Linked DNA regions of Styela clava. The protein of the gene in region 1 interacts with the protein of each later gene in a pairwise test. Links are inferred from orthologs where the notes say so. Each region holds a gene or a part of one and is shown in the gene's direction. Other genes may lie near its edges. The genes, in order: heat shock protein beta-1-like, WD repeat domain-containing protein 83-like, nuclear valosin-containing protein-like and protein pelota homolog.

The links.
Region 2: the proteins of heat shock protein beta-1-like (region 1) and WD repeat domain-containing protein 83-like interact in binary tests that used the Homo sapiens proteins (3 or more experiments, as listed by UniProt). The link is inferred for Styela clava from reciprocal best matches to the Homo sapiens genes HSPB1 and WDR83.
Region 3: the proteins of heat shock protein beta-1-like (region 1) and nuclear valosin-containing protein-like interact in binary tests that used the Homo sapiens proteins (3 or more experiments, as listed by UniProt). The link is inferred for Styela clava from reciprocal best matches to the Homo sapiens genes HSPB1 and NVL.
Region 4: the proteins of heat shock protein beta-1-like (region 1) and protein pelota homolog interact in binary tests that used the Homo sapiens proteins (3 or more experiments, as listed by UniProt). The link is inferred for Styela clava from reciprocal best matches to the Homo sapiens genes HSPB1 and PELO.

Annotation. Positions count from the first base shown.
Region 1 is NC_135252.1:17,838,388-17,847,085, reverse strand, and holds the start of heat shock protein beta-1-like, read left to right. Parts: upstream 1-5,520; 5' UTR 5,521-5,987; coding exon 5,988-6,098; intron 6,099-7,388; coding exon 7,389-7,577; intron 7,578-8,698. UniProt on the Homo sapiens protein: Small heat shock protein which functions as a molecular chaperone probably maintaining denatured proteins in a folding-competent state. Plays a role in stress resistance and actin organization.
Region 2 is NC_135253.1:10,241,483-10,249,453, forward strand, and holds WD repeat domain-containing protein 83-like, read left to right. Parts: upstream 1-4,368; 5' UTR 4,369-4,488; coding exon 4,489-4,567; intron 4,568-4,878; coding exon 4,879-5,075; intron 5,076-5,459; coding exon 5,460-5,639; intron 5,640-6,104; coding exon 6,105-6,303; intron 6,304-6,955; coding exon 6,956-7,224; 3' UTR 7,225-7,546; downstream 7,547-7,971. Other genes in the region: uncharacterized protein LOC120326295, read right to left, coding at 223-365, 890-1,072, 1,244-1,317, 1,747-1,838, 2,030-2,135, 2,369-2,638; ankyrin repeat domain-containing protein 40-like, read right to left, coding at 7,762-7,971. UniProt on the Homo sapiens protein: Molecular scaffold protein for various multimeric protein complexes. Acts as a module in the assembly of a multicomponent scaffold for the ERK pathway, linking ERK responses to specific agonists.
Region 3 is NC_135250.1:9,216,076-9,223,910, forward strand, and holds the start of nuclear valosin-containing protein-like, read left to right. Parts: upstream 1-4,588; 5' UTR 4,589-4,757; coding exon 4,758-4,925; intron 4,926-5,150; coding exon 5,151-5,259; intron 5,260-5,586; coding exon 5,587-6,276; intron 6,277-6,654; coding exon 6,655-6,822; intron 6,823-7,212; coding exon 7,213-7,325; intron 7,326-7,614; coding exon 7,615-7,739; intron 7,740-7,835. Other genes in the region: ufm1-specific protease 1-like, read left to right, coding at 1-591. UniProt on the Homo sapiens protein: Participates in the assembly of the telomerase holoenzyme and effecting of telomerase activity via its interaction with TERT. Involved in both early and late stages of the pre-rRNA processing pathways.
Region 4 is NC_135252.1:10,070,900-10,079,466, forward strand, and holds the start of protein pelota homolog, read left to right. Parts: upstream 1-5,081; 5' UTR 5,082-5,177; coding exon 5,178-5,218; intron 5,219-5,516; coding exon 5,517-5,613; intron 5,614-6,158; coding exon 6,159-6,305; intron 6,306-6,732; coding exon 6,733-6,823; intron 6,824-7,058; coding exon 7,059-7,222; intron 7,223-7,309; coding exon 7,310-7,370; intron 7,371-7,677; coding exon 7,678-7,839; intron 7,840-8,272; coding exon 8,273-8,393; intron 8,394-8,567. Other genes in the region: transmembrane and ubiquitin-like domain-containing protein 1, read left to right, coding at 901-1,034, 1,796-1,890, 2,036-2,182, 2,329-2,446, 2,893-3,158, 3,627-3,754. UniProt on the Homo sapiens protein: Component of the Pelota-HBS1L complex, a complex that recognizes stalled ribosomes and triggers the No-Go Decay (NGD) pathway.

The DNA of each region.
Region 1 (8,698 bases):
TCAACTTTTCCTCTATAGGTGTACTGTGATTTCTGCAGTCAATACAAAAACAAAAATCTGTGCAATTTAAGTTGATTTTGGCACACTTTCATAAATTATTTTGACTATTTTTCTTTGCAGTTTGCCAACTCAAGAACTGATTTGAGGGCCACATGCTTCTTCAGTGAATCATTGTTGGGTGGAGAGTATAATCCTTATGTTTGACAGTGTTAAATAGACGTGCCCTGGTATCATTTACATTCTTCATATCCTTTTCAAATTCCTCAGCTTTATTTATTAATACCTCGTTAACCTCGAAAGATCTTCATAGTCGAGGGAAAAAAATGAATTGAAAATCGTTAGGTCGGATTGGTGGAACATTGCCGTTTTCTTTTGTAGTACAGTATCTAAAATAAGGAAGAAAATAATATTCGGAGCGGCATGATTTTAAAAATACCCCTAAATACTAACTAATACCTTGAATACATAATGCATTTTATCTGATGTACTAAATGAGCGTATATATGCTCATTGCATGTTCTACAGTCCAGCAGTGTTTGCATACCATTACTAGACTATATCTACACTAAATTTTGATATATCACAGTCTGAAATGTCCTATGACAGTATGAGTATGGACTATAGACTATATTTTGAAACATCAACTGTTTGTCTACAACTTCATTTCTCACCTCTCAATCATTTCCAATGCTACCTTTCTTTCCACTCCGGCATAACTTATCATTGCTTCCCAGGTTCTTGTCGACTCTATGAATTTAGATTTAGACCAACCGACGTTAGTAAAATTGATTAATTTCTTCTCTTTCACACAACCGTGCATTACAGAAACAGCCATTCATTTCTATTTCCAAATATGCTGTGGCCTATATAGTAGTATAAGTCTGCTGAATAGTCAAAAAGAGTCATTAAATTAATCATAAACATTTCATGCAAGCCAGAAAATATCGTTGTTTGTGACATACCGGTATTATTCTAGGTCTAGCCTTCCTTGGAGTTACCGTACCTATTTAACAACGTCTTATGAGCTAGTGCTCAACTAAAATTGCTATTTATGGCAAGGATATACAAGTGTTTAATATCTTACCTATACTTTTCAACACCTCCTTAGAATAACTGAACTAATATTACCGGTAACTGAAAAAAACTATGGAAAGGCTACTCAACGCAAAAGCGAGCAGTTGAGTACATCTGATATTCATCCGACCACTGGGGATCCACCTACAGCTGACTAACTTGACTGTTACGTCGTGCAGAAGTCTGCGTTCATTGGCCCATGATACCGGAAAAGCAGAGAAAATAGGACAGATGGTAACACATATTTATTGTAGTAAAAGCGTCTTTTCTGTAAAACGTGCAACTTTTGGAAGTGGGAACAAGGCAATATTTGTTACTAAATTTCTAAGGAACATTTTAAAATCATTTTCAGGTAGTTACCTGATGTGCGCTACGAAACTGAAAGATAAATGGCCTCGGCTCGCGGCCTATTACCGATCTAAAATAACACGCCAATCCGCAGACATAATAATGTGACATCAACTGCCCGATTATATTTAGTTTTGAAATATATATATTGTGCTTATGCGAATTCGTTATCGTTGTTAGAAAGATCTGGTATGAAATCCCGGAAAGTATATTTAATTTAGTATAATGAAAATATATAAAGTATATTAGTAAATCAAAAATACATATATATTCATTGCCCCGAAATCCCCGCAGTACGGCTTCTGAGTCAGTCGTCGAGTCTAGATTACGCCACTCGTAAAAAGAGCCGACTTTTATGTACGGTAATGGTTTTTCTGTTGAATAAAATATTCAATCCATGATCTATATTCATATTTAAAATGGTTACTCTATTTATGTAATTGTGATAAACTGAATCTGCGATTGCGTCGATAAAATAAAAGCACCACTTACCCAAAATACAACAGCAATCCGCGGACATAAAAATGTGTAGCAAAGTGCCCGATTACATTTGGTTCCGTATTCTTGCGCATTAGACCAATATGAGCTGTCCCCGCAACTCCCACTCTGCTCCATCGCAATGCTGCCACTCGATTAATTTTAAGATATCACCGTTCTAGAAATTCCTAAGTGTGCGATAAAATCCAACAGAGTAAAACTTATTTCAAGTCGGTAGTCTTAGAACACTACAGGCACGAGGAATTTATGAGATTTGCAATGTCTAAGAAAAAGAGTTTTTAAACTGTCATGGTCCACCCCAAAACAAAACTCACGGTGTTTACCGTTTCCTGATTCAGGGGGAATAAACACCGAAATAAATATTTGAACCGCCTAAATAACATGTCACGCTGACGAAAACAATCGGAGATTTAAACAAAATTCAATTGCAAACGTTATTAGCGACTTTATTTTCCAGCGGTCAAAGGCCGGGGAAAAGTTCACATGCCTAATACCTATCAAAAAATGAACTGCTTTTCTTTATGCTAAAAATGTACACAAACTCATTTGCACTCCTTCACAATTTTTAAACTGTATTTTTGAACCTGGTGGTTGTTCAAAGGTATTGGTAGTGAATTTTGGAGACGTCAGGCCAACCAAGAAATCTGTAATTGTTGTGTATTTTAAACAAAAATAATATAATCTCTTTCCACGAAATATCAAGTATATTTATGAGCGAATTATTCGCTATTTGATTAAGCCATATCTTGTTTTATCTGAAGAAGTTAGACTATGATCTAACGAAAGCTCATAAATATACTTGATATTTCGTGGAAAGAGATAATGTTATTTTTATTTATCTTCATAATACTATCTCAGTCACGCATCCTTGTGGCAACAGCCACATACGGATCCGGAATAGAAAGTAAACAAGGAGAAAGGACCTGTAGTTCAATACACAATACCCTAGTACACCCCATTTTTTAAACACACAGTAAATAATTTTTGCATTGTTCAATAGTGATGAAGTAAACAATTGATTGAAGTTTTACGTGTCTTGTTTAAAATATTATTTAGGCAGAAAATACATTAAAGCGCAAAAACCATACACTTATTGCTTGTTTAGTTTTACCTAAAACTTAGTTTGGCTGTACCAGGTATTGCAGACTGAGCGGGAAAAGGAGAATGTATTTGAGTATGGCTTTATACGTATACGACTGTGAATGGCGAAGTTGTACTCCGATGCGTTTTATGCCTAAACAATCTGAGCAATGACGCTATGAGACCAACACTTACAGCGCCATGGTAATATAAATTAACCTGCCCATTACAAAAGCATTTTTTCAAAGCAAAAAGGGGGGCGCGATGTCTGTAAAATGTTTCGAAGGGGGCGCGGCTCAAAAACTTTAAGAACCACTGGTGTAGGGTAATAGATACTCCTATAGATATACCATCAAAAGACTCTCGCTTAAACTGCTACTAGGTAGCTTGGAAGTTTTAGGGGTTTTTCGATTACGCCAATACTGCTATCAATTTTAAATACCCCAAAACCAATACATGACTTAGAATCTTAGATAAACTAATTGCATTATGTCCATCGCTAGCTCGATGCATATGGTTACAAAGCAAACTGTGTCGTCTCAATGTGTTCAGTATCTCCTTTGCAAACGACGAGCGATTTAATGTAAATTTAATAGCTCACCCTACTTGTCGACCGGGCAGAAAGATTTTTCAGCTGCACGTTTTTTCCTAATGGCCCATTTTCAAATTTATTTGAATGTATTGGGTTGGGATGAAAGGGTGGATTATAGGGCCTGTTAACCCCCTCGTCACAGGCATATTTATACCGATTGAAGAGAGAGAGAGATTTATTATTTGACAAATATTATTTGGAACAGAATCATTCGATGAATCAAGCCATCTCTACAGCAGCGGTATATAAGCCAAAAATATTATATAGTTATATAGTGGGACCGGTATGTTAGTCGTTGAGTGGGACCAACGACTAACATACCGTGGGACTTACCGGCATTTATTTGTATTACTTTATTAGTTGTGCTGTTATAGTATTTAGTAGAATAAGTAGATCATATAACTCAGAAATTTGGCGAGTCCAGTTTAAAATAGTTTATTGCTCGGTTTGCCCCTTAAAAGAAATTTCCTTTCAAATTTTCGTATTGCGCTATTTAGAAACTGTATTGCGATGTAGAATATGGAGGATATTGATTGCCGGACTTTAATTTTGTACCGGACAACTTCAGTTTTTCTTCTTTGTGGCAACTGACTCCGATGACCCCTAAAGGTCATATCGTATCTCTTCAGTCATGTACCGAAAGCATCTGTTTATTTGATAGTTTTATATACTATAGGGCAACAAAGATTCGACCCTATCTGCGTGTCCACACACCCGTGTTATTGAACACACGTTAACAGAGTGTAACTCCGATCTTGACTCCTTCAGAGGTCAAAAAGCACACAATGTATTGAATGCCAAATGTTATATTGTAAAGTTGCACAATCGAATTGATCCAAATAACGAATTACACTTGAAACCCCTAAAGCAAGTATATGTGATGAAACCAAATTTCTAACTAACAAATAACGGCAAAGACAAGCTACACTGAGTGAGAGAAATATATCATAAAGGAAATGAATTGGGACAACGACCTTGTTTCAGGCAAATAACATGCACTACTAACAATAAGTGGTGAAAATATTAAAATACACAGTAACTATCCTTATGTACTTGCTACAATACCGGTGTGTGAAATATTTCAATTATTTTAGGTGAGTGAACACGTACCACATCTTCTTGGCAAAACCTTCCATCTTATATACATTCTGTACGTTTTAAACCTTATCTAAGGCTTTGTTCGCTCTCCTGATTTCATAATCAGTTTTTATTTATTTTTAGCATTCATTTTATTGTTTTGCTGATTATGGAGTCGAAATAAACTTATACTTATTATACTTATATATGTATGTTGTTTCTTGGTTTGGCAAAATGAAATAAACTCTCTCTCTTTCCAATATGGCACGAAGGAAAAGCAGATTTAGCAACCAATTTCTTACATTACTATGATACGTTGGCTTGATTAGATTTTATCCGGCGGTATTATCTTCTACTCGAACCAAAGGTCGCCAACAAGACTTGAAGTCGTATAACAACAAATTGATCTATAATAAGTCCTTGGTGGTATTTGATATCCTTGTTATTAGCACCTTCGATCTAGTAATGCTCAATTGAAAACAAGTACTACTCCGGAATGCACCCGGTTGGCACTTCGATCATTTCTTGAAGTCGCCAGATGTGGGCAACATTTGTCCCGCATTCCGAAGCGATAAAGTTATCTTCTGCCCAATCTTGGCGGAGTAATACAGTATGCGATAGCACATACTCCAAAGATAGAGTCACGGCTTTAATTAAGGAAACAAGCGCATACAAGGTGACAGCTGCGAATGCCCTCGACAAAATGCCGTCACAAGTCGAACATCGTCTCTGCGACATGTCAAATACGCGACAGACGAGTGATTGCCAACTCCCAAATTGGGATAAAAGAGCGATGGAATCTTCCCCCGCTTTAGAATATAAGATGAAATAGCGCAAGAAACTCATACCTGTGAATAAGTTTACAAATTTCACCTCAGCTACATACTGCCAGACAAAGTGTATGGAAGCGAGTTATTACGATCGGGATATTCAGGAAAGATAATATTAATGACCAGTTTTTAAGTTTGATCTTTGAATAGTGGAACGCGCAACGAATAAGTAAACCAGATGTAGATGAGGCAATGGGACTATTTTGGGATCAAGTAAAGGGGGTGCTGGATCGATAAAATGCCGCTCTAGCTTCTGTATCCAGTAATTGGGATAGTGGGGCTTAGTGTAAAAATTTATTATTCCGCAGATCGAATATAATGTGTACGCTTATGAAAACAGTACGAACTTATTCAGCTAGTGACTACATGGAACTGGTCAGGAATCATAAATGAGAAATTCGTGGAATTGCGCTATATTCAGGGCAGGATGTCCTCGGCATCTTCATAATGTCCATTTTTATTAGTAGGTTGTTTATAAATAAATAACGATGGCTGAAAGACAAAGAACAGAACGTCGAATTCATATAACACCATACAGACCAACCCCGTGGGAACCGTTTCAAGACTGGACGTTTCCCGCTACAACTATTTGGGACCAAGTGAGTCTTACTTTTTAGTATTTAATTTTCTATGCAGTACGTGTTGAAGATAACGACTTTACAATAAATTTTTGTATTGAGACAGGTTCATTTTTATACTCTAAGTCTAATAGATCACAAAAAATAAATTTCTTGAAATATTTTTCAAATTATTTTTGAATGTCAGACAATTACATAAAATTGTCTCTGTATAATCCCGGATAATATTCAATAAAATCTATATTATATATTCTGGACTTTTTCACATTAGTCACAAATCACTTTTCTATTTCGGATATAATGGGTTGAAAAACTCATCCTTATCTTTTGCCCAGAGAACGGATTGCAACTGTTAATTAATTATTAGTAAATAATCAAATTTTATATTATCCTTAGTACTTATTTTGTGCTATGTTTGCTGCTTATATCTGTATATTGTTGCATGTGTTGCTATTCTCGTTCTTTTCATATTTTATGCATGTTGAATGTAACTACTACGTTTGAGATTTCGAAGAGGAGTTTTTTATTAACATCATTATTTCACTATTTTAAATCATGACACGTTTCTGTAAAATGCCAACCGATACAGACGTCAGTACTTCAGTCAGAAGTATGCCAGACGAATTCTTCGCAGGTTGGATTCATAGGCCACAGCACTGTTGAAAAGATGTGGTGGTAGCCGAAAAGTCTAATGTGATTATATCCAGTAACTTAGGATGTTACGATTGGAGAATAGTTTTGAAATAAATTTATGATTTATATACGGTATAAATATGCAGTCTTTTCTTAAAAGGCCATTTAAATGGCGATTTGGACCATAACTTGAGATACGTTATTCTGTATTTTGCTTATATGCAAATTTAAAATGATACGGATAAATGGCATAGGACACCATTGGTACGAGGAATTCGTAGTAGAGCCTTTTTATTAATTTTATTATTCAACTCACTTTGACTCTTCACTGCTCTCGGTACATGTATCACCAATTGCAAATATAATTTTATCTTCTGCTGCCGCTATGTGATCACTGAACACTCACAGATTATATTTATTGGGCAAGGCACAAGTCAGCAAAGATCTTCAATCTAAATTATTAAATCTCATAAGCTTGATTATCACACATTAAGCATTATGATGATACACTCCAATGTCATGCTCGATTCATGTTTTCTGCGCTGACTTCACAAGTCAACTACGGTACGTCATCAGTTTTCTTTCACGGTTACCATCCAGTCACGCACGCCTTTACCAGTTTTTCGTCGACTTCACTTAGTTCGCTTGAATATAACCAGACATGCACTTTGAATACAGGATTTTGGCGGAATGCCAATGACTAACAGTGTGCGAAGTGAGCATCGTCAGAGATTGGTCCGAGGTGGGGGTGATCCATGGGCTTCTTCGGCGACTGCTTCCGTTCCGTATGTTGTCAGATCTCCGGCTGCCGTCCAACCTACTGCTCCGCAACTTGTCAACCGACAGAATAGTGGTGGAGTTTCTCAAGTAAGGCGATTCTAGGATATAGGTTTTTACGCATCTGCTGCGAAGAGTCGATTACTAAATATGATCAATGATAATTGTGCGAATAGATGGGCGAATTTTTGTCTAATATAATATTTTGGATCTTTCATACAAAGCACCACTAATGCAAAAATGTGAGATTTGAGAAAACACCCATTCACGTTTTTTAAAACAACAAATTAGTAAATATCCAGTTGGGGTTAGGGTCGGAAATGATTTGAATTGACAGCGCAATCTGTATCCCTATCCCTAACTGAATATTTATTAATTCTCTTATTTGGAGCGCTGGCGAGGGTGTATTTTTTATGGCGGGTGCTTTGTAAAAAATGTCTTTATATTTTTATAATGTCATGTTATTTGGTAAGTGTTTACTAAATATTTATGCTAGATTGCATGAGATCTGTCTTGATTTTAGAATGGTATACAGGGTTTCCGCATTGTTGCATAAACGTGTTGTCTAATGGATTGTTTGGCTTGAGTTTGAATTATGAAAGATTTTGGGTTCTATTGAAGTATGGCTACCAAGATGGCGGACACCGAAACGTAGTATGTGTACCAGGTTAAGGTTAGGCCATAATTTAATTCCAATTTTCCTTATTTTAGTTCTATTACGAGTTCGGGGACTAGATAAGTTGTACCTGAAATTATTGCCTAACCCTAACCTGGTACACATACTACGTTCCGGTGTCCGCCATCTTGATACGCATACCTCAGAAGTACCAGATTTTGTAATGTTTAACCGGAAGCCCGCAACGCGGCATAATCATAGGATGAACCAAGAACTTCCCCCTGCTGGCAGTCGAGGTCGGTTATTTGATAATCAAGTGAGCCGTTTTGCGAAACGCCGAGGAATCCAGCAATCTTCCACATAACTAACCATCTCCCAAGAGGGCCCAGTTTGTGAATCCGCGTATGGTAGTCTGCGATGCGATATATATAAAGCGGATTCCTTACTCTTAACACAATGCCAAGCCAAGTTGTATATCAAACATATTCTATGAGTTTTCATATTAAATATTATACTCAACAATAATGAAGACACAAGAGGCATATCAAGAAAGACAATTCCGCAAAAAGATAACAAACATATGGCAGCCCTAAGT
Region 2 (7,971 bases), on another chromosome or scaffold:
TAAATTGTGGCATAATATCATGATTTCCCAAAAGATTGAGATATTGGCTTATCTTTCAACCTACTTGCTTGCTTGCTATATATTCGGTACTCCCGCAGTGTGTGTACCAGGTTAGGATTAATCAATTTTCCTTATTTTGGGTATATTGAGAGTTCAGACTGTCTGTGTTAGCCAAGTGAATATACCCCCTGCCCATAGGTTTCAGACCCCTATTCTACATACCAATCTGTCCCATCAATGCTTCTCGTCCTCCTTCTGATTGCTCTAATCTTCTTCTCATTGAATCCATATCAGTTTCCATTGCTCTCTTCCCTGCTTCAGCTTGTAACAGTTGGTTGCGAAGAACAACTTCATCATCTTGATTCCTAAATTGTATTTTTTCCATGTAATTCTCATTTTTAAGAGTTTAAGAGTTGATAACTGACACAAAAATTTTGCAATACGACAAAAAAGCGATGACATTTCAGAATAAACATATCCAGAATTATGATAAATTAGAATATGAATAACATAATTACATAATAATAATTACCTGCCAAGAAAATGGTATCTCATGCATAGATATCAGACAGTAAACATTAAGACCTTCTTTAACGGCGCTCCAGAAGTGTGTATACCAATATGGAGGTAACTAAATTTGTTCGCCTATTTTACATCAAGTTTTGAAAAGAGACGGAAACCTATGAGCAGGGGGTATATTCACTTTGCTAACACACAGTCCCCGAACTTGTAATAGAACTAAAATACGGAAAATGGGAATAAAATTTTGCCCTCACCCTAACCTGGTACACATACTACGAGAATACCCTTTTAACAAATTTAGATCAGTGAAAAGCAAGGATGACAACAATAAAGCAAAACAGGTAAACAACAAAGAAGAAAAGCATACTTTGCTTGACTTTTTCTTAAAAGATCCCTTGTTGCATCAGTAGCAAATCGAGCTGCATTCTCTCTTTCACTGACCAACTCATTTTCTAATTGTTTTAATCTACGTTCAACACGATCTGCTGCTGAATCACCGAGTCCATTTCCATTAACTTCTTTTAATGCTTTTCGCGATCCCAATTCAGAACTGTGTAGAATATTGATAAAATCATAATAAAATTTTTGAAGATATTCAGGGTTAAAAGCAAAGTAGTAAACTTAGTGCAGGGGAAAATGTTTATAATTTGAAAGCATATAGTATAAAAATCATCAGAAACAACAGTCAAGGTAAAAATGAGCTAACTTCACAAATAATTACCGATATTGTAATTCATCATCCATTCTTGATTGGTTTGCAACCAACTCTGACACTCTTCCTCTCAAATCTCGAACCTGAAAGTATCGATTTTGAAACTTACAGAAAAAATTAAAGTTTAATAATAACATTATTATATGACTGGAGAATGACATAATCAAACAAGTCTATTTTCTGGAAAATGTTGTAATACTTATTTAAAAAGCAGGAGGAAGCATCATACAATGGCATAAAGGTAGTTCAAGCAGCGAAAGTGGGTTCTTTGTCTACTGACCATATTTCTTTCTGATTTGGGCTAAGGATTTTTGCTACAAAAGTTTAAAAGTTTTCCTGAATAGGGGCTTATTTGTCATTGATTAAAATCTTCAATGATTATAAGTTCAGTTTAAGCAATGTATGCCTTTGCTGCACAAACTGCGACATGAAGGCCCTCACCCAAACTGAATGAGTCATATATAGCTATCCCTTTCTACGAGCTAACAAGACAAGATTATTTTACATCTTACCGATTCATTGAGATGATCTGATGGTCCAGCTGTTGTTCTAGATGTTCTTTCAAAGCCAAGACTACTCGCTGGTCTAGGTCGTGTTCCCCTTGCTGCAAAGAATAACAAAATTCTTATTAAAAAAGACTGTTAATGTGGCATAGTCTGTTTAATAATAAACAAACAAATCATAATCAAGTATGAATTGATATCCAGTAATGGAATCAACAATTACAACCTGTCACCATCTACTCATGTGCCGCATAACACTGGTGAAAATATCCAAAATTATTTCAAAACTTACAAGAAGTAAAATCACTTTGATGAAGACTTCTTGTTTCACGAGCTGCTGCTCTCTTTTCTCTTTCATATCTTAATTTGTTTATTGATCCTTCCAGGTCATTTTTCAACTGCAAAATAAAAAATTATATTTGGCGAGTCAAATAATTCAAGCGTAAAATTCTTCCCATTTTTTAAAAATGATATTGACAGGGTTGAAATAAAAAATGTAAGTCCAAATTTCAATTCCTGAGTAAGCCAAATTGAGTTCTTCTTTCCAAGAACTAACTTGATAATTTTTGAACAATATCAGTAAAAAAGATATTAAAATAACTGAAACAAAATAATTAACTAATCTTCTTACCTTGGATAAAGCTGACATAGAATCATCATGAACATCTTTGAAGTCTGAAAGTCTGGAATCCATGCTTTCTAAATTCCTTGATGTATCTTCTAAGTTGTCCGCTATTCTATCAACTCTTCTTGTAATAGATAATGGATCCATGATTGTGACATGTCTTGATCCACGCAGAATCCCAGCAGGAGGAGATGGTAACCTTCTCCTAGATGGATTCTGTGGAGGAGAGTTTTCAGAAGAGGAAGAGTCCACAAATCTTTGGCGACGACTCGGCATTTTTTTTATTTCAAATTTAGTCCAATAGTCAGATTGTTTAAAGCAAGGAATTATGTAGTCTTTTTCATCTTAGCAAAGAAAGTTGAGAAATACACCTAGCATTAGGCAGGATGGACGATCTGAAACATTATTCACAAATTTATATTAGAGAATATGATATTAAGAAATATTAAGTATGAGTATTTATTAAAATATTATCAACAAACCAGCAAACATAAATAATGACTCACACTTAGGTATGATCAGCAAAACTAAACAAAGATTATTTCATTATTTCATTTCAACTGCTTTCAAATTACTGAAGAATGCTTGTTTCGAGAATACGGATATTCTGAAATGACTATTTTCTAGTCATAATAAGTTTGCATTGGGTTTTTCTGCAGTGCAGCAGTGGAATCATAAGTTTTTTAAGGGAATTTTTTTTTCTAAATATGGAAATATTGTCTGCATAATAATAATCTCAGAGTATTTCGAGTTATCCCATGAGGGCCCCGACAGGATCTTATTTCAATTTTCTTTTGGAAATTACGATAATTTTGAATATACAAATATTTAGAATTTACAAATTTAGGTTAGGTCTTATTTTCGGGGAAACAAGGTAGGCCTATCAGAATATTGCAAGGCAATTTCTGAATATTCGGAAATTGAACTTCAAAAGATAAAAAAAAATGCATATTAAGCCGTGCAATCCAAAAAGATTAATTTAAACAAAAATACTGGTAATCAACTAGCATAGATCTAAATAACGCACACCAAAACCAATCACACAACTTTTTCTAAAAATATGCCACATACACAGTTAAATGGAATCACAAATTTCCCATTACAGCACCATTCTGTATTCTGGTATTACAGTTTTTCTACTGCGATTTTGTAATTTAGAGGAAATCTTTTAGCTGTCAGCGTGTCCTACAAATAAAAGTCTCCTAAACAACGAATTCTCAAATCGATACACAATTGTTTTATCCGATAAACAAAGCAACACGATCAGTAGCAACAAAAAGCTTTTTGAAACCACCGCTGTTTTGTTTGGCCAACTGCAACAACAGTACTCGCCGTAACGATTTATTTTGAAAATCAGTCACGCGTGCCGATCAGTGATCGCAGTTTCGATTGAAATGAAAATAGCTTAAGAAATGTTTTAAAAAAACTATATGTAATATTTATCAACTATTATTAAAAATTACATGACACTCAATAGCAACAACAAACGCAAACTATATTGAATACATAATAAAGCTCTGCAATTTCAAAAACCTTCATGTCAGCGTCAGATCTGAATTCAATCAGTGTAGTTTCGCACAGCGTGTAAATAACATACAATCATGAAACTTGTCGATGTCCGAGTGTGGGCCATCCTTCCATTGCGATATAGGATAGGATAGGATTTACATATTTATCCCGGGGGAGAGGAAAGCCGATAAGACGGCTTATCCATATGGCGAACCACGGCCTCTCGTCCGGTTACCATTCCAAGTCGGGTATGGGATTAGTTTTTACTGTATTGTTTGTTTTTTCGGAAGCATGGACTTGGTGGTGGAGGAAGCCGTAACCGACCAGCGGTTACGTGAACCACCCAACGACGGCGAGGAGTCCAGCAATCCTCTCGCACATAACCATCCCTGCATGGGATTCGAACTCTGCGTGGATATCTTTTCATGAATTCCTGTCCATTTTCGTACAATTTGTAAATTTTTGTCAAAACGTTTTTGTTGGGATAAAGTGGGTGTCTCTTGTATTGGTCAAGATTTATAACTACGTTTTTTAATATCATAGAATATATGAGATTATATAATATTAACGTTAGCACTGCAAAGGTACGGTAGTTTGTTGTCAAAGTGGAGTAACGCATGGCGCAGAATGTTGCAACAAAAATATTTTCGAGTATTGATTGCGGACAAGGAGCAGTCCGGGCTGTGAGGTATAATGGTGTGTATTTTTTACTCCTTTACCAAATGAATTATAGGGATTAAAAATCGTCGTTACAAGAAAGATTCATTTATTCTCTGTTCAGCAACTTGGCGAGTTTGTTTTGATTCTAGAATGAAAATAGGCTATAGACATTCGAGGTTGTATGATTGATTGAAAATATGGGGTTTAATGTGGTTGTTATTGCATTCGCATTGTACAGCACTAATACAGTAATATCTATGTGTGCTAAAAAATTCATCACCCTCAATTAGCCAGTGCCTAGCTTCAAATGTTTGTAGCATCTTCAGCCAACCATATTTTACTTTCAGCTGATGGAAATTACTGTATAACATGTGGAAGTGACAAGACCATTAAATTATGGAATCCTAACAAAGAATTATTAATAAAGAAATACACTGGTCATGGTTCAGATGTTTTAGATGCATGTGGATCATGTGACAATGCACAACTTGCATCTGGTGGTAGTGATAAAACTGTTATATACTGGGATGTTGGAAGTGGTCAGGTAAATTAATTCTCATAGCAGCAATCCATTCCAATTAGAAGTAATACAAATTGCTGTGCTGAACAAGCTTATTGCACTACGGTTTGGTTTTTTTTTGTGTGTATTTCCATTGTCTTTATTGGTGGGTGCATACTAATACATTTTAAAATTTGTTCCAACCCATGCGCACTGTCTGGTAATTCCGCACATTGTTTGTACTTTTTGGATTGTTTTGATGATAAAAAAAAGTGATGAGTTTTCAGTTATACTGGCTTTGCAAATTAAACTTATTTATTATTTATCAAAGCTGAAAGTGTTGGTTTTTCAAACTCTCAGTTTCAATGGATACTCTTTTGGCTCAATTCAAAGAAATCTCAATAAATCTTATTTTTCACACCGTTATAGATTATGCGACGATACAGAGGGCATGTCGGAAAAGTGAATTGTGTTCAATTTAATGAAGAGTCGACCACTATACTTTCTGGTTCTGTAGATTCTTCAATTCGAGCGTGGGATTGTAGATCACGCAAACCAACTCCTTACCAAATTATGGATGAAGCAAAAGACAGCATTACATCTTTACAGGTCGTCAGTTTCTTGGCTTCCTTTTAATGCATGAAATTAGCAATCAAGACATTGCTAATATGTCTTGAAATACAGGGCGTACCCAGGATTTTGAACCTTACCTCTCTTTCGAAATATACAAAAAGGAGCTTTTCTGTATCGTACATATAAATTTTTTGTAGTTTGAAACGGCTTTTTAGACTCAAGACTTTTGAAAACCCTCGTTTTTCAGCAAAACCTGCTAGCTGTTACAGTCTAACTTGGCAATTATAAATTTTAGAACCTCCCCTTTGAAATACCTAGCACAACACTCCTGTAGAAATCTTTCGTTATCACTTGTTCTATGAAAAATAACAGTTTACTGAGATTGTTAAACTGTGGCTCAATAAAGAAGTATTTGGCTGTCAAATCACTCTGAATCATCAAACTCTCTGTCGAATCACATTTAAGTTTTTGTTATTAAAGACTCTCGTGCTTTTAACACAGGTCAATGATCATGAAATTCTCTCAAGTTCTGTCGATGGCAAAGTTCGAAGATATGATATAAGAACTGGAAAAATGTTTTCTGATTTCATCGGATCAGCTATTACTTATGCTGTTTACACTAAAGATTCTCAATGTGTTTTAGCATCAAGTCATGACCACACAATCAGATTGTTGGATGTTGATTCGGGAGAAATGTTAGGTTTGTACAAAAGTGTGATTAATAGTCCTTTATTGTTGAATTTTCTATTTTAAAAGTTTTTTTTCAGCAGAGGGGGCAGATAATTTAACAGTTTGCAACACAATGTGCCATATGTTCCAAAATTGAAAATACTGTTTTCACATCACAGGCAAAATTTCATTCCATAGGCATTGAAATCAAATTGTCCATTAATAATATTTGATAGTAACACTAACAGTATACCTATGAAGTACAAAGTGAACTGAATATAAGCATTCTTATATATCTGTGGAATTCTCCTGTCTCACCTGTTTCACTTTATACAGCATCTTTTGCTCTAACCAAGTCTCTATACTGTCAGCCATGAATATTACTGGAATCTGCCTGGATCTATATTGCCTGCCCAATTCATCACACTCTGGGTTAGATGGGGGCACTAATTCCAAGTCCCGTATCGAACTGTAATTACTGTTGCAACAATCACTTTTCATAGTATTTGTAAAATTTCCACAGTATTGGTAGAGTATCAGGTAAACCGGGACCCGAATATCGAGATTAATAGCTAAATTAATAATTTCTGATCTCTTTGGGTGTTTATGTAATTCAAACACAAGCTACAGCATTTTAAATTTATATGAATTTAGTAATTGAAGAAATTGTTTTTAATACACAGGAGAATATACTGGACATAAAAATAGCAAATACATGATAGAATGCGGATTGAATGCTAAAGACGATCATGTGATCAGCGGATCTGAAGATGGATTCATTTATATTTGGGATTTGATTGAAGCGAAAATTCAACACAAAATAAAGTTAAAAGAAAACAGAGTAGTACATTCAATCAGCCATCATCCTGAAGAAGTCAGCCTTCTTGCTGCAATGGATAATTCAATAATTGTAATAAGAAGTGAAGAGTTTGAACCGAAGGATAAAACATAAATAGCATTCAATGAGGAATGTGACAGCAAGGTGACTTACAAGTACCGTGGATGTGAGAGAGGATCGTCCAGAATCTGCATCTGATAAGAGTGATACATGGGATATTATTTTACTTTGAGATCGCAGATCGAACAGGACAAAACAGTATAATTGACATTTTCAACAAGTCATTTTAAGAAAAATTCATCATAAGCATTCAGAATAATGCATCTGACATCTGATGGTAGGGCAAGAAATGAACTGCTAAGAAATATAAAAAAATCTGCCTTAATTTAGTAATGTGCTGTCACTAGATTTTGAGCATTTTCGATGGGTCTCGCTCATACCTTGTGTAACACATTATACACTTTATTTAGGTAACTAACAAGCCCCAAAATCCACTACTCGTGTAATTTTAGGCAACTCGTACTTCGTACTCAAAACCATTTATTGGTTTTGATTGATGTGACATATAAAATAAATAAATTTTGCTGATGTTAGTTCACTTGATTAGTTGGAAGTACCAGTATATCTCATTATAAAAAATGAGATCAGTTACTAATACACAAGTTTTGAGACTTGTTCTTTTAAATATTTTGTATCTGGTTGTTGACCGAAGGCACTCTCGCTTGCAACAATTGCACCATCGATAGGATGTAGTATATGTGGCTGCAAGACTACCTCCAAAGTTTGATAGTCTGTCAGTCTCAAAACGTCTTTATCACTCCTCAGCACGGTGTGAGGTAATTTTCTGATCTTATGGACATG
Region 3 (7,835 bases), on another chromosome or scaffold:
GATGGAGTAGACGACAGAGGATGGGGTTGTGGTTACAGAACTCTACAGACTATGTGCAGTTGGATACATTATCATAAACAGAAAAACAGGACAAAAAGTAAAAATGAAACCACAAACAATGACAAAATTTATGATAAAATTACAGGACATGTACCATCTATATCAGAGGTTCAGCATGCATTGGTTTCAATGGGTGATAAGGAGCATTCATTTATGGGGTCAAAAGAGTGGATTGGTTCTTTCGAAATATCAATATGCATAGATTATGTGTATGACGTACCCTGTAGAATTGTGCATGTTCCCCAAGGGCAACTTGTGAATCACATACAAAGTATAAACGAACATTTTCAAAAGTATGGCAGTCCTATTATGATGGGTGGAGATAATGATAATTCGTCGAAGGGTATTTTTGGTATCGCTAGATGCAATCAAGAAAATTGTATTTATTTAATAATTATAGATCCACATTGTACCTTTATTGATTCTGACCCAAATTTCTTAGTTAAAAATAAGTGGGTTGATTGGAGGCGAATTGATGATTTTGATAACTATTCTTTTTATAATCTTTGTTTCCCATTGTTGTCTTCGTAATTTTCTGACGCAGTAAATTGGATTTAAATGAATTACTTTGTCATGATTGATTACTTGTTGGCGTTGTTGCATTACTGAATATGATTGTTTTATTAGAAGGGGTGCTTGACACAATAGTTTATAGTATTTACTGGAATTTCTCATCTGACCAACTCAGTGGTTCTTAAACTTTTCGAGCCGCGCCCCCCTTTGAAAAATTTTACAAACTTCTCGCCCCCCCTCTCTTTTTGCTTTGAAAAAATGCTTTAAAACGCTTTGGAGTACGATTTCGCCATTCACTGTCGTATGTGTAAAGCCGAATAGGATAGGATAGGATTTACATATTTATCCCGGGGGAGAGGAAAGCCGATAAGACAGCTTATCCATATGGCGAACCACGGCCTCTCGTCCGGTTACCATTCCAAGTCGGGTATGGGATTAGTTTTTACTGTATTGTTTGTTTTCGGAAGTATGGACTTGGTGGTCGCACATAACCATCCCTGCATGGGATTCGAACCTGCGAACCCACGCAGAGTGATTAGAGGTGCGGTGGCGAGCGTATTCCTAACGCTTAGCCCGTTGAGCCACACCGCCGCGTGGTTGGTCATCATACATTCTCGATTTTCCGCTCAGTTTGCAATACTTGGCAAAGTCAAACTATTATTAAGTAAAACTAAACAAGCAATAAACCTATGCTTTAATGTATTTTCTGCTTAAACGTTTTATAGGGCAACAAAGATTCGACCCTATCTGCCTGTCCACACTCCCGTGTTATTGAACACACGTTAACAGAGTGTAACTCCCGATCTTGACTCCTTCAGAGGTCAATAAAGCACACAATGTATTGAATGCCAAATGTTCGTATATTGTAAAGTTGCACAATCGAATTGATCCAAATAACGAATTACACTTGAAACCTTAAAGCAAGTATATGTGATGAAACCAAATTTCTAACTAACAAAGAACGGCAAAGACAAGCTACACTGAGTGAGAAAAATATATCATAAAGAAAATGAATTGGGACAACAACCTTGTTTCAGGCAAACAACATGCACTACTAACAATAAGTGGTGAAAATATTAAAATACCCAGTAACTATCCTTATGTACTTGCTACAGTTTACATAAGACACGTAAAATTGCAATCAATTGTTGTCGCTAAGGCGTTTGCAATTTGTTTACATCTCCATTGTTTACGTCCGCGTGGCGTGTTATTTAAGCCCTAAATATCTTGATTTCGGTGTTTATTCTTCCTAAATCCGAAATTTCCCTCGACATATTCTTGTGCCGCGAAGACGATTATAATTACTTATTTTTGTTCTCGAATGGAACCATGACACCTCTGAGGAAAACGAGTTAGGTTTTATTATAATCATCAGCGACGAGATGCTAAAGATAGAATAAAGAAGTGAATATGTAACTAAAAATTCCTTTATTGTAAAAGTGGCATTATAAAATACTAAAAATAAAACGGAAAACGCCATAAGTTTTGTTTTGGGGTGGACCGCCACAGATTAAAAACACTTTCTTAGACATTGAAAATCTCATGAATTCCTTGTGCGTGCGCCACACCAGTAGTGTTCTAAAACTACAGACTTGATATAAATTGTATATCAATCGGGGATTGAATATTTTATTCAACAGAAAAACCATTACATATCCGTTGAAAAAGTCGGCTCTTTCAACGACTGGCGTAATCTCGAGGACTGACTCAGAAGCCGTACCGCGGGGATTTCGTTTCGATTAATATGTATTTTTCATCTACTTATATACTTTGCATGTATTTTAATTGCACTAAATTAAATATACTTTCTGGGATATTATACTAGATCTTTCTAATGACTACAACGAATTCGCATGAGTGCAATATATATAAAAACTAAATATAATCGGGCAATTGATCACACTTTATTATGTCCGCGGATTGGCGTGGTATTTTAGATAGGTAATGAGTTTATTTTATCGTGAATCGCCGCAACCGCGAGTTACCTTTAACACAAATGAGAACCATCTTGAATTAGTGTAGTTATTACGAGACAGAAAAATTCATTATAACACGAAAAAGCCGGTATTTTAAACGAACGCGGAGACCGTTTCAGAAGCTGTACATGTAAATTTACGATTCCATCTTGGGACCTCTCGCGCCCTCCCTTTTGTTTGTAATGACTTCTGTATAGATATCGATTGACATTTCGTGGTGAGGTTATTTTGAATACTGTAGATTATAAGCGACTTAGTACTTATGATGAGGCTCTACAAGAATCCTAAAACGTGTTGGGCGGTGACACTTCGCGCTATTAACTTTCTTTTATGTATAACCTGCCTGGTATCTCGATGTTAACAACTTCACAACTTGAATATGATTGAAATCTATTGCAGTCACGTGAAATACGAAATTGTGTGGTGATAAAACACAAAATGATTCCAGTATTGTAGAAACATAAATGACATACAGTATACAGTATTGTAGGATGCAGAGGTCCAACTGTTTAATTGATTACAATAATATTGAGGTCAAATGATCATTGCTGAGACGCAACGATCAACTGTTGAGGTCGAAATGATCATTGTAGAATACGAATGATTAATTAATGAGGTGTTGAGGGTTGCTAAAGTTTACGACCAACCCAACAGGCAGGTTAACTACATACTTAATTCTAGAATATGCAAACAATAGCAACATAAAAATACAAGATATGCAAAATGAATCAAACCCTATTATTAAACTGATGGACAAGTGAACAAATCCGCTCGTTGCGGCAAATAAATTAGCACTACTTGAACAGCTAACTCTTAACACGAAATAAATGGTAAACAGCCGACTGGCAATTATCCGAAATAATAAACAAACAAAAACGAGAGAAAAAAAAGGCCGATAACAGACTTTGTTTACGCCGACATGTCTATTCCTGCCCACGAACAGATGGTGAAATCGCCTTGAAGGGAGTAATTTCCTGAACGGTCATTCGACAAAGTGCAATGACCGATATATCTCGAGAGGTGACCGTACATTTGAACCCATGTGTATATCTACGGGTTCAATCTATATACGGGTGCTAAAACCCATGGGTTAGGGTCAGCATGGGTTCAACTATCCGAAAAACAAAAAAAATTACATAGGTGCAATAGCATACAGGTGCAATTGTCATGGGTTCAAATGTACGTGGGTTCAAATGTAATGGAACCCTCGGTCACATTTGAGTGGATGACGATCATTCTGATACACTCAAATTTTCATTTAGAAAAAAAATGTCTCGCTTAAGTCATTGAGAGATGAATAAAAGGAGGATTTGCCCACGCTAAAACAAACAATGATTTGGTATTTGTTACATACAAAGTTTCTTTGTTTCATTTCATATATATTTGGGTTTCATTACATTTGAACATGATTTGAGCCCACGTTCATTTGAACCAATACATTCGCACCCGTATATCCGCGGGTTTAATCTATATGCGGGTGCTGAAATCCGTGGGTTAGGGTTAGTATGGGTTCAAATATCCGCAGGTGCATATTTCCATAGGTGCAATAGTATGCAGGTGCAATTGTCGTGGGTTGATATTACCGGTTCAAATTCAAATGTACGTGGGTTCAAATGTAATGGAACCTACTGATACAATGTTGAAATTGTTGGAAATATGACGCCATCCCATTATAGCGCCATACTTTGGCACTTCATTCGATAGAATTGAAATTTGGTCTGTCGAATAATTGATGAAAATTATAAAGAAGTAGTTAAGATATAAATCTTAAGAGCATAGACTATTTTAGTTGATCCGAAGTTTTTAAAAATGAGGACAAGTCTCAAAAACAAGCACGGAAACAAACCCTATCCACGAGGATTAGGATTTATCTCGGGGGAGAAGAAAGGGGACAAGACGAATCAATCATATGGGCCGGCTGCCAGTCCATGTCGGGTATGGTACGTTAATCATGATGCCCATGTCAGGTAGTTATAGCTGTTACTTGTTACTATAATTTTCTGCACTGATTACAACGACATGCTAGTCGTCGCCCTACCCACATAATTATACCCAATAGATGAGAACTCAGAACGACTCCGTCCATCACTTCAGGGTAGTCCCCGAAATAAACATGCTTCAATCTTCACTGATCCTAACCAAAGTCACTTTGATCTTAACTAAGCTATCTTTCGATGTACATTTGAGCTTGAAGGCTAAGCTCCTGGAATGTCGTTTCTTCCTTCATTTGATCGTCGTTTAGTGGGAAGAGTTAGAAAATATATGACAGAACGACGTCGTGTATATGTAGATGATATGGCAGATGACTTGCAATCTATATATCGCCAGGATTATGGAAGAAGAAAAAGGAATGGATTCAGAAAATTGGTGAAACAGGTATAATTATGATTGTATTTGGCAGTTCTAGCGATTTTCAATTTCTAATATTACTTTATAAGCATATCTTCCACCCTGGCAATCCAAATTAATTGTAATCATGTCCTATTGTATTGATAGGCTATTTGAATTTGCTGCTATAGCTTTTATTATTGTACTAGAACAATTTTGTTTGCTGAAGCTTTGATTAGTAGAATGCATAAAAAATCATATTTTCATTTTCAGATACATTTGTCAATTGTCGAAGAACGGAGAAAAGGGAATTTGAATGACTTAGAAAGGCAACATATGAGTAAAAGAAGGAAAGAAGATTCTGGACATAGCAGCTCTTCTGGTTAGTATGACACAATGTTGTATTTTTAACTCAGAAACATGTTCATTATAACATTTTGGGACTTGTTGCAACTATTACTCGTACAAGTATTTTTACACGAAGATTACTCGCACCATTTAACCTGAACAAGGCCCTGCACAAACAGCCACTGTTATCCAATGCTCTAGCTCTGTAGGGAGCTAATATTTTTGGAAAGATTGCATTGCCTGGCCAGTTTATAACACCCTGTGTGACGTTGTAGTCATGGGTTCGAAACTTAAATGTGTAACCTTCGATGCCAACACAATAAAGTTTAACAATTTAACAGCCAGACCATCTATATTTTAGATTCTGCTGACGATGATGAATGTTTTGTCGAGCTTTCGGACCATCGATTAATGAATTCATCTCTTATGTCTCTTTATAAAAAACAAAAGAAATCTCGTTCAATGCCTTCTTCACCATATCATTATGTTGACTGCTCAACTCCGGCATCAAGCTTTTTTGAAAAACCTTCAATAAAAAATACAGAAGTGGCGCCTATTCCAGAAATACCCTTTGTAAAAGAAAAGAAAGATATAATAAATGCTGTTAATAACGATGATATTTGCAGAGAAAATGAATCTCGAGAAGAGGAGAAAATTGAGATAGACAAGAAAACATTTCATTTTTTTGATTCAGACTTCGTTAGCAAAGAAAATAGTCTTGTAGAGAATAATGATAAACCTACCCTCGATAAAAAAACTGTTACTAAGACAAATATTCCATCTAGTACAAAAAAAGATAGGCGAAGACATAGAAAATCAAAAAAGAAGGAAACCGAATCAAAAACTTCAGACGCTGATATCGACATTCTAGGCAAGGATGCAACACAAAAATTTAAATTCCAAACAACAATGGTAAAATTTGAAGATATTGGTGGAAATGAGAATACGTTGAGAGAAGTTTGTAAACTTCTTGTTCATATGAAACATCCAGAAATCTATAAAACACTTGGGGTTATTCCACCTTGTGGTATTCTGCTTCATGGCCCACCAGGTAATAGTGTTTCTGATATTTCATATATTCCAGTTCGATGGATAATGTTTTCAAATGAAGAAAATGATGTAGTGCAGTGAGTCACATTTTGTCTACAATGTCATTTAATAAAAAGGAAATTTTTATGGGGTGTTTTCACTCCGAATAAACAACTATTTTATTATTTGATTCCATGTTTCTTTCAATTTGATTCTGTCCCAACTCATATCTTCTAATTTGAAGTATTATAAAAGAACTATTTATGAATGCACATCTTCGATTCGCATTCTGATAACTTTTTTATGTATGACTCATTTTTTCTGAAAAGTTATGGTGTACTCTTGAACAGCTCAATCTTCTGTTTCGTCATGTTTGACTATTTTGTTATTATATTTTTAGGTTGTGGCAAATCACTTCTAGCAAATGCTATAGCTGGTGAACTATCACTTCCTATGTTGAAGATTGCTGCTACTGAAATTGTTAGCGGAGTTTCAGGAGACAGTGAACAGAAATTACGTGAAATGTTTGAAATGGCATTGTCATCTGCGCCCTGTATTGTGTTTATTGGTATGTTTGACTACTTACTAGTCGGGAGAAATCTTTAAACTGTTAGTGGTGGACGGTGGTAAAAAATTGATTATGAAATAGAATAAGAATGAACAATCCAGATAACTCTGCATTGAAATTGTGTAATATTTCTCAAGATTTTGGTCAGCTAGCTAGATAATTAAAAAATTTTCTTTCTCCTTTTCACTAATTTTCTTGAAAAATTGTACTGTTCACTGCAGCCTCTTTATCTCGACATCGGGCAATAACATTGAGAAATACAGTACCTGATAATTTTCCAAATATACTTTTATATAATAGTATGTACTCCTACCACTGAGCTATGACTTTCAATACTATTATGACTTCTTCAAAGTGCTCAATTATCATTTTTATTCAAATGTTTTCCAGATGAAATCGATGCCATAACACCAAAACGAGAAATTGCTTCTAAAGATATGGAACGAAGAATAGTAGCGCAATTACTTTCATGTCTCGATGATCTTAGTGCATCACCATCACAGGTATCTTATTTTTTTTCTCAAAATGTTTTCATGTTAAAAATCCTTATGAGAGGGTTCATTTTCATTCATGCATCCGAGATAATTTCTGAATATGCCAATATGGTCCATCTTCGAATTGAAAAATGATTTAAATTTATAAACACTTGGAAATTTCAACCACACGTTTGACCGATTAAGATCCGGCAATATTTTTTTTGAGACTGACTGAAAAAGAAGAACCATCTGGAAAATTTAATATGTGCATCAATATTACTCAATTACATGTGCTTCCTCTCCCTATATATTTAAGGTTTTAGTAATCGGTGCAACCAATAGACCAGACTCGATCGATCCTGCCTTGAGAAGGGCTGGTAGATTTGATAGAGAAATTTGTATGGGTATTCCGGATGAAAAAGCTAGAGAGGATATCTTGAGGTATATGTGTATTTAGGAATTGATGGATTTAATAATTTATTTTGGTGGATAGAAAATCAATTAGATGGCTTAATGACAGGGATGGCCAATACCGAA
Region 4 (8,567 bases), about 7.8 Mb from region 1:
GACAATTTTTGTCACTGTGTTGTTTTTGCAGTGAAATTGAACTAGGCCTACAGCATCACCGTTTTGCGTCAGGGAGTGTTTTTTTGTTCCATGTTCTTGTAGGAAAAGCACTGTTGTGTTACACCGTAAATATATACTGTTACACCATAAATATATACTACTACGTTACACATACACGTCTCACATTTTAATTTAGAAGGTAGAAGTTTATTGCATCCCATTATTTACTTTAATTGGCTGTTTTTGTTAAATTGTTTCCAAAGTACTGCCCGATTGTAAATCGCGTTTTTCTGTGTTTGTTTTATTCTTTTTTGGTGGGCGGGCTCGTACATTATACGCTATTTAACTTTTTTTAAGTTATGCCCGTCTCTCAGGTATCTCTGCATTTTGTTTGTCTGTTTACTTTTTGTATTGTTTATGTCAAAGAACCAAAATAAATGATTGATTGAAGTCAGACCTAGCTGCGTCGGCTTTCAGAGCAAGAAATCGCAGCCGTCACTTCTTTTTGCATCAAGTCGCAACAGGTCAAAGGTTATGAATGTCCCTAATTGGTCTTATTTTTACCAACTGGTTCATTAATTGTTTCCCACACTGTCTTGATGTTGCCTTTGTGAGAGACAAATTTAACGTTAGACATATAATAACTTGATTTTTTTTGGATTAGCCAAGCACAAAAATTCCTGTATTCAGGAAACGCAAAAGCAGATAATCTAACCACAGAGTGAAGTAACAACAACGTAGTCACGTGTTAATCAGCTGAGAAAAGTCGAGTTGTAACTACTAACTAGTGACAACTACATATACCGTATCTCGTACCGGTTTACGTTGCCAAATGCAGAAATAGGGGTTTATGAGTAGACTATAGTGAATTTTGCTTTAGTTGCATATTTTCTTCTTGACATGTCGTCGTCTTACCTGATTGACGGAATTGGCGATGAGGTAACAGTATTGTTAGGCGTTCTCGTAGCAGTTTTTGTCGTCATAGTATCGTGGTTGTCCACGAGAGTGAGCGATTCCAGTGGAACCACTGAAAGGTGAGTGACTAAGATTAATATTTTTTTTAAATCTGTAGGTTGAACTACTGTGTTCTAATATTTTGAGTTTTAAATTGGTCGAATGAAACTTGATAATTAGACTATAATACTGATGTATGAACGTTTTGCGTAGTGCAAATTTTGTAGCCATAAGTTTAAAGCTATTTTAAGGTTGCCGATGACAAGTAGCCTAGACCGAATGGTCATTTCGCGGTTATCCTGTCGATTTGGTACAAATATTTTGTGATCTTACTCACTTTCATTTATTATGCTTTATCGGAATGGCAAAGACTGGATTGTGGTGGTTTACTTCGGTTAGTTTCTGTTCCTGTGTTCTGCTAATTATAAGCTCATACCTAAATTCTGGCTGAAAAGGCGGGGCTTTTTGGCTAAAATTTGGACCTGACGCCGTGTATTATAAAAATGATCCTGCCTAGTCTACTGGTTGACAAAAACTTTGACTCCATCGCCAAGACAACATAATTTTTCTATGTAACTGATGTAAAGCCAAGCCTCCTAATTGCATTCTAAGAATGCTTAGTCAACTCAATGATTTTGAGTTCTGTTGGCAATTTTTATTTATCGTTCTGTCATTGGAAGCCTGAAATTCTGACTTTGATGCGTTTTAAAATCAGAATTACAACTCCTGAACTTTGGCACCAATAGAAATAAAAATATGATAAACCCACATTCCGCACCCCGGACAGCCTCACCAAAAATATCAGATCTCCATCAATGCTATGTTATATTCTGTTTATCAGTTTTCAAAATAGTCAGCAGACATCTGCAACTGTAGAGAATCAGACACACAGTGCATCAGCCCAACCAAATGTTCCAACAGAAGCTGTCCAGACAGGTAAAAATGTTTTCAGTTAAAAACCTATTCAACAATGAGCCAGTTCAGCAGTTAGTGTACTTGCATAAAACAGTATATTAATGACAAAATCAACATATCATTATCAGTATTGTCTTCTATACTAAATCTATTCATCTTTTTACAGAAGAATCTTCTTCAAATTCAGATGCTTCTGGGCCCACACAAGATGAGTCAGTTGTGAGCAACTCATCACCAAATGATGCTCCAGTATTAAGACATCGAATTCTTCATGATGCACAAGCATCTGCACAAACACCTCCGACACAGGAATGTAAGTCTTTTCAAAAATTATAAATTTCAACAATTCCAAAAACCATATTGAATTTTTACAAAATGTGTTATTTATTGTCTTCTATGTTCCAAAATCAGTAACTGTGATCTAATCAGTTAGATTAATTTGTTTAACTTTTTATTAAGCACCGACTTCCTCAACCGCTGAAGGTGGTGCAAGCATCACAATACGTTTGAAATTTATGGATGAAACTATACAAACTGTGAAAGCTAATCCTGATGAGACATTGGAAAATTTTATGAGGTTATTACCTTTTATAATATATTATTGGGTGTAATACCTCATTTTGTCATTATTGGGCAATGTTTAGAATTCGAATAAGATATCGCATTGTTGAAAATTGTGGAGAAATTGAAAATCTGGCTATAACAACAGTGTTGTCATTTTATTGATTGTTATTAAAACCTCTGAGGCAGTATATATTGCATTCTGTTATTTTTTTTTTATATGTCACTTATTTCACGCCTTTTGCTCTGAACAAGGCTCTGTACAAGCAGCCACTGGAGCTAAATTATTGGAAAAACCGGAATCTTCACAGTCACCATTGCCCATACAATTATTCACACCCTGGGTGGGTGTCCGAGATGTACTGATGCAGTGCCAATACAGTTAGGTCCAATGTTTCAATAACTACTGGGCCATTGTGCATTCTGTTGTTTTTGTTGAAACACCAATTTAAATTTTTACAGCCGACAATTCACCTCTGATACTCGTAATCGATATAGATTAATTTATAGAGGACAAGTTTTGAGAGATCAAAGCCGGACTTTACGCCAGTTTAATTTAGTTGGAGATACCACTGGGGAAAATCCAACTATACCAATGATTCACTGTTTTCTGTCACCTGCTACTCCTGCCAACGAAGCAGGTGTTAACATGGCTAGTAGTGCTTCACAACAAATGCAGATGGTTGCAGAAGAACTCCACATAGGATCTTTCATGCTTCCAATACTAGGCAAGTTATTCATTTGAAATTTATTTTTTTGCTTGCCATCAGCTTTGGCATATGATGAGAACAATTACTTCTACCAAAATAATATAGGGTAACGCCAAATAATTGAATCCAGCACATTTGGAACATTCTCCTAGAGAAGACTCAACTTTTGTGCAAAGCATCCAAGGTTGCTCAAACTTTTGGGTATTATGATACACATAACAGAAGTTCAGGTGTTAACTTTTTTTTCGTTTTTTTAGGAGTAATCAGGAAATTTAGGGGTTCTGATTTTGGGTCACGCTATTTGTAGTTCGTGAAGAGTAAGAATAGGTGGATATGGTTTCCTTTCCAATTCACTTGTATGTTGTAAATCGAAGGATTAGGAGTCATTTTATATTATATTGAAATGGATATACTAATATAAATGTTGAATGAATATTGAAATGCCATACTAAAATTATATTTTAATAAATATCGTTTTATTTTTAGGTTTTGCACTGGCGAGCCTTTGGTACCTTTGTATATTTCACACAAGTCTGTTCTCTATTCAGTCAATAGTCAGTATTGTTGGATTCTCCTTCTTATACATTGCTTTAATTGTCAACCATGTCATATGACCATAGACATGTTCAATACAAGATACAAATATATATTACGTTCATGACACTGTCATCCTTTGTCAGGAGAATATCTGCAATGTTGTCAAGTCACACAACTCTTCAATGGTTTATGCCCTTCCAACATATTATGATGAAAAATTCAGATGTACAGTAATGATGACTTTTAATGCCGAAGAAATTTGAATAGCTGAATATTTTTAAGGTCCAAAATCTTGAGATTTTGATTTTGCATTTTTTTATTATTTAAAATTACAATTTTTTCCAATCTTGATTTAAAATGTTGTAAGACTCAACTGGTACTGCTACTTGATTAAGTTACTACAGTTGAGTTGCTATGGCCGCACAAGAGGAGTTTTATTGGAACTGCATTAAGCTGGAAAAACATTTTGCGGAAAGCGACACTGATCAGGATCGCGATCTACAACTTGAAACAATCTGTTTATAATATGCTCCCTATCATGTATTGCTCATGTTCAGACGAAGCAGTTACAGGATGAAAAAATATATGAATATAATATATTCATCTTACGTTTTTGAGTAACGCAGTAACTGGGTCACTACATACATTTGGCCGACCAGATAAGGCGCATAATCTATTTTTAAAAATAAAAAAGGGTTCAAATGGGTGTTTATGGTCTGTAATATGTTAGATCAGTCAACTCTCGGATCACATTGTGTAAATCGGTCTTATTCTCTTATGAAATTTTTCGAATGAAAATATATTTCAGCTAAGCTGAATCAGCTTATTATATTTCTTTATGCTATTGCACATCCAATCTATTATTATTCTATGCTGATGTATGTTTACTTGGAATATTGTATAGTCGCAGTAGTAATTTCAAAGTATATTATGTGCTGCTTAAATTTGTTACAGAATTTTGCGTTGTTAAGTTTTGCAAGATATTTGCCCACTACCACAGTTGTCATACGTAATCTACGGTACCTTAAACCAGGGCTACTTAACTGGCGGATCGCCATCCGAATCCAGACCTCTTGAGTATTCCATTCGGACCGCACCTGTTTCTTTATTTTGAGCATATTCTCATTAAATTTGGATATATGAAAGTTTTTTTTGATAAGTAAATCTTATTTATATTTTTAGAGGTTAATTTATCATTACAACGCTCGTCGAAGATGGCACTGAAATATATTTAGGCACACTGTGAAATATATTTTCTGAAAAACGGGCCCCAATGATGTTAGTTTTGTTCCTGGATCTTTGGTGAAAATAGTTGAGTAGCCCTGCCCTAAACTGTCTTTCAAGGGATTTTGTGCAAATGAAAAAATATAATATATTAAATGTGACTGAATTACTTGCTTTTTACTAGTTCACTACTTATGACAACGATTAGTCTAATAATATGCTAGTTGTTATTAAAAGCTCCAAAACAGACTGTAAGCAAGACATCGTTACTCCAACATGAAACTTGTGCATCGGAATATAACAAAGGATTCATCAGGGTAAATAACATTGTTTGAAAAATTTTATTTTATTTTCCGAGATTCTAAATTAAAACTGAGTTTTACGCACGATTATCTGTTATGGAGAACACCTGTGCTAAAATATAAATCGTTATCTATAGATTACTTAAATTCATGTTTGAATCACAAATTGCGCTTGAACTTGGAAATTGTGAAAACGTTGATCATCTGCTCATTCAATTCCTAGATCTTCAGATCCGTTAATTAATCAAACAGTCGTCATTATTTTTCATGTGTAATTGTAGGAAATATTAAACCATATTGCTTAACGTTTCAGTCAAGTGACTCTCATTCCAGAAGATGGAGAGGATATGTGGCATGCTTATAATATTATCCAAGCTGGAGATAGTTTGAGATCAACCACAGTTCGTAAGGTAACCACTAGGAGTTTTTTCTGAAGACACTAAGTATAAGCTATAAATAATATGATTGTTTACACTGTTAATGAGAATTCGACAAAACAGGGAAAAAGTGCCTCGATTAATACCTGGATTGTCTATACATGCAATTCTTGAAAAAGATATAAAAATTTTCTTAGGTGACAAAAAGTGATTATTTTTAATATTTGAGCAGACTAATAAAACTATACATGTGTAGCAGTTATTAAGTGTCTGTAAATAACATTTAATGAACTTGTGAGTATTTATTTCAAAAATGACCTATAAAGGACCTTCCGGAAAGCCCTTTTTTACAAAAGTATCAATATACCGGTAATGCTACCAAATATCCCATGTATTTTCGTATTGAAGCTGTTTGGGGACAAAAAGAGTTTTGTAAAAAATTGGTATAATATGGTTAAATATAGAAATTTCCTTTGTGCGATTTCAACGAGGTTTGCAAGTTCCATCTTCTCATATTCTATACTTGGATCATGTTATGAAAAGATTTTTCAATTCCTATGACAATCACACTTAAATAGGTTCAAGTTGAATCGAATACTGGTAGTGTTGGAAGTAGCAGAGTACGGACAACATTGACAATCACTGTGGAAGCATTAGACTTTGATTTCCAAGCATGTGTTCTTCGGGTGAAAGGAAGAAATATTGTGGAAAATCAGTTCGTCAAGGTAAAATGTTTATGTCAAATTTAGGACGAAAGTAACAATGTATGTTCACAGCAAGGTTGTTTTTATGGGTAAGAATCATTGATTTTTGGGTACTCCCGAAGTATGTGAACCAAGATGGCGGACACCGGAATGTAGTATGTGTACCAGGTTAGGCCATAATTTTGGGTACAAATACTACATGAGTCACTTCGCTGGTCCCTGAACTCGTAATAGAACTAAAATAAGGAAAATTGGAATAAAATTATGGCCTAACCCTGACCTGGTACACATACTATGTTCCGGTGTCCGCCATCTTGGTTCACATACTTCGGGAGTACCGATTTATGTTTATGTTTCTCAATTTTTTTTATTGGTATGATTGATTCTGTCCACTTTATTAAGTTGTATTATCTGGTATTTATCCGTCTAAAGCTAATATATTTTTTAGATGGGTGCATATCATACTCTTGATTTGGAAGTCAACAGAAAGTTTACACTTGCAAAAAAATGTTGGGACAGTGTGGTGTTAGATAGAATAGGTAATATTATCTTTACATACCAGTCATATCGGAGCTAAATAATGTACATTAATCAATGGTATTACTAATATTTCTTGTTTTGGGCAACACAGGTGTTAAATCATATTCATGGACGAGGAAAGCTGTTTATATAATCTCTAAGTATTCGGTTATCCAAAGATTGGTGAATATTCAAGAATACCCGCTTGTAATTATCATGTATCTAGTTTGTAGTCTTGTTCTAATTCCTCCCTAGATGCTGCTTGTGATCCAACTCAAAATTCTGATGTTGCTGCTATCGTAATGCAGGAAGGTATTGCACATGTTTGCCTTGTATTAGCGAGTATGACTTTAGTGCGAGCAAAAATAGAAATGCAGATACCTCGTAAGAAAAGAGGCAGCTCGCAACAGCATGATAAGGTAATGTTGTTCTGATTTTATTTTGTAAATGTTATCCTGTTGTTGGTTTACTTTTAATTATATTAAAAAGCTTCTACATTTTTGCAGGGTGTTGAAAAGTTTTTTGATTCTGTATTGCAAGCTATTCTGCGGCATGTAAATTTTGATGGTAAGCAATGATTTTTTGATTACATTGTTTGAATGGTTTCTCAACTGGGTTGTAGCAAATAAAATTTGGTGAATTCCAGTTTTTTTTTTGTGAATGCATCGTTGTAAAATGCTGGTCTGAAGAATACTTTTGGCAGTTTTCATTCTTTGCAGTCAATGCAAAGTCACAGAGAAAGGGGCAGCGTTTTAGCACACACTGCTTCAGTCGATCGTACTAAATAATATCCGTAATTGGTCATTTCCATATTTATGTTAGAATAAATAGTAATAAAAACATACAGTTTATACTGAATTCATTTCTTTTTTAGTTGTTAAATGTGTTCTTGTTGCGAGCCCAGGATTTGTAAAAGATCAATTTTTTGAATATATGTTCAATTATGCTGTGAAGACTGACAATAGGGTTCTTATTGAAAATAAATCAAAGTTTTTGTTGATACATGCTTCGTCGGGTTTCAAGCATTCTTTAAAAGGTATGAAGTTTCTGTGTCCTGATTTTTTTGCTAACATAGGTATATTTGCTGTTTTTATCTTTACTGGTTGTTGCTTTATAAAAACAACTCAATGAAAGTTTCAATGTATTATATAATTGATAAGTTACGAACGAGCCGTGCGGAAACATATGGACATGAAGTCACAACCTTCCAAGAGAGACTTATTCTCCAACTGCTCGAAAATAGAAATTGGTTTTTTGCCAAGAGTTTCGACTCTTATCCCAGTGACAACATGAATAACAATATCTAAATTTATAAAAATGCAAAGTTCACTCTTGGGTTGATTTGTAGCATCAGGATGAACTAAAAGAATTTTTGTATCTTGTGTGAAAAATCATTTGGTGCATGGATGCCCCAGTGTGCTTGGCATATTGTAGCCACTCTCCTGTACGCTCACAATTTATGTTTTTAGAAGTTTTAAGTGACCCTTCTGTAATTGCGAGACTGGCAGATACAAAAGCAGCAGCTGAAATACGTGCCATGGAATCATTTTATAAGATGCTCCAACAGGAACCAGACAGAGCGTATTATGGGTGAGGCTCAAATGAATAGGTTAAAACTGTGCCGGTTGCCAAAATTCTATCTACATAAAAAGAATAGATTGGCGTGTGTATGCAACCACATAAAAAAGTAACAATAGTTGATTGTAATGAAGTAGCATCTGTTATTGCAAGTTTTCAGTCAATGCTAGCTATGCTATAAAATCT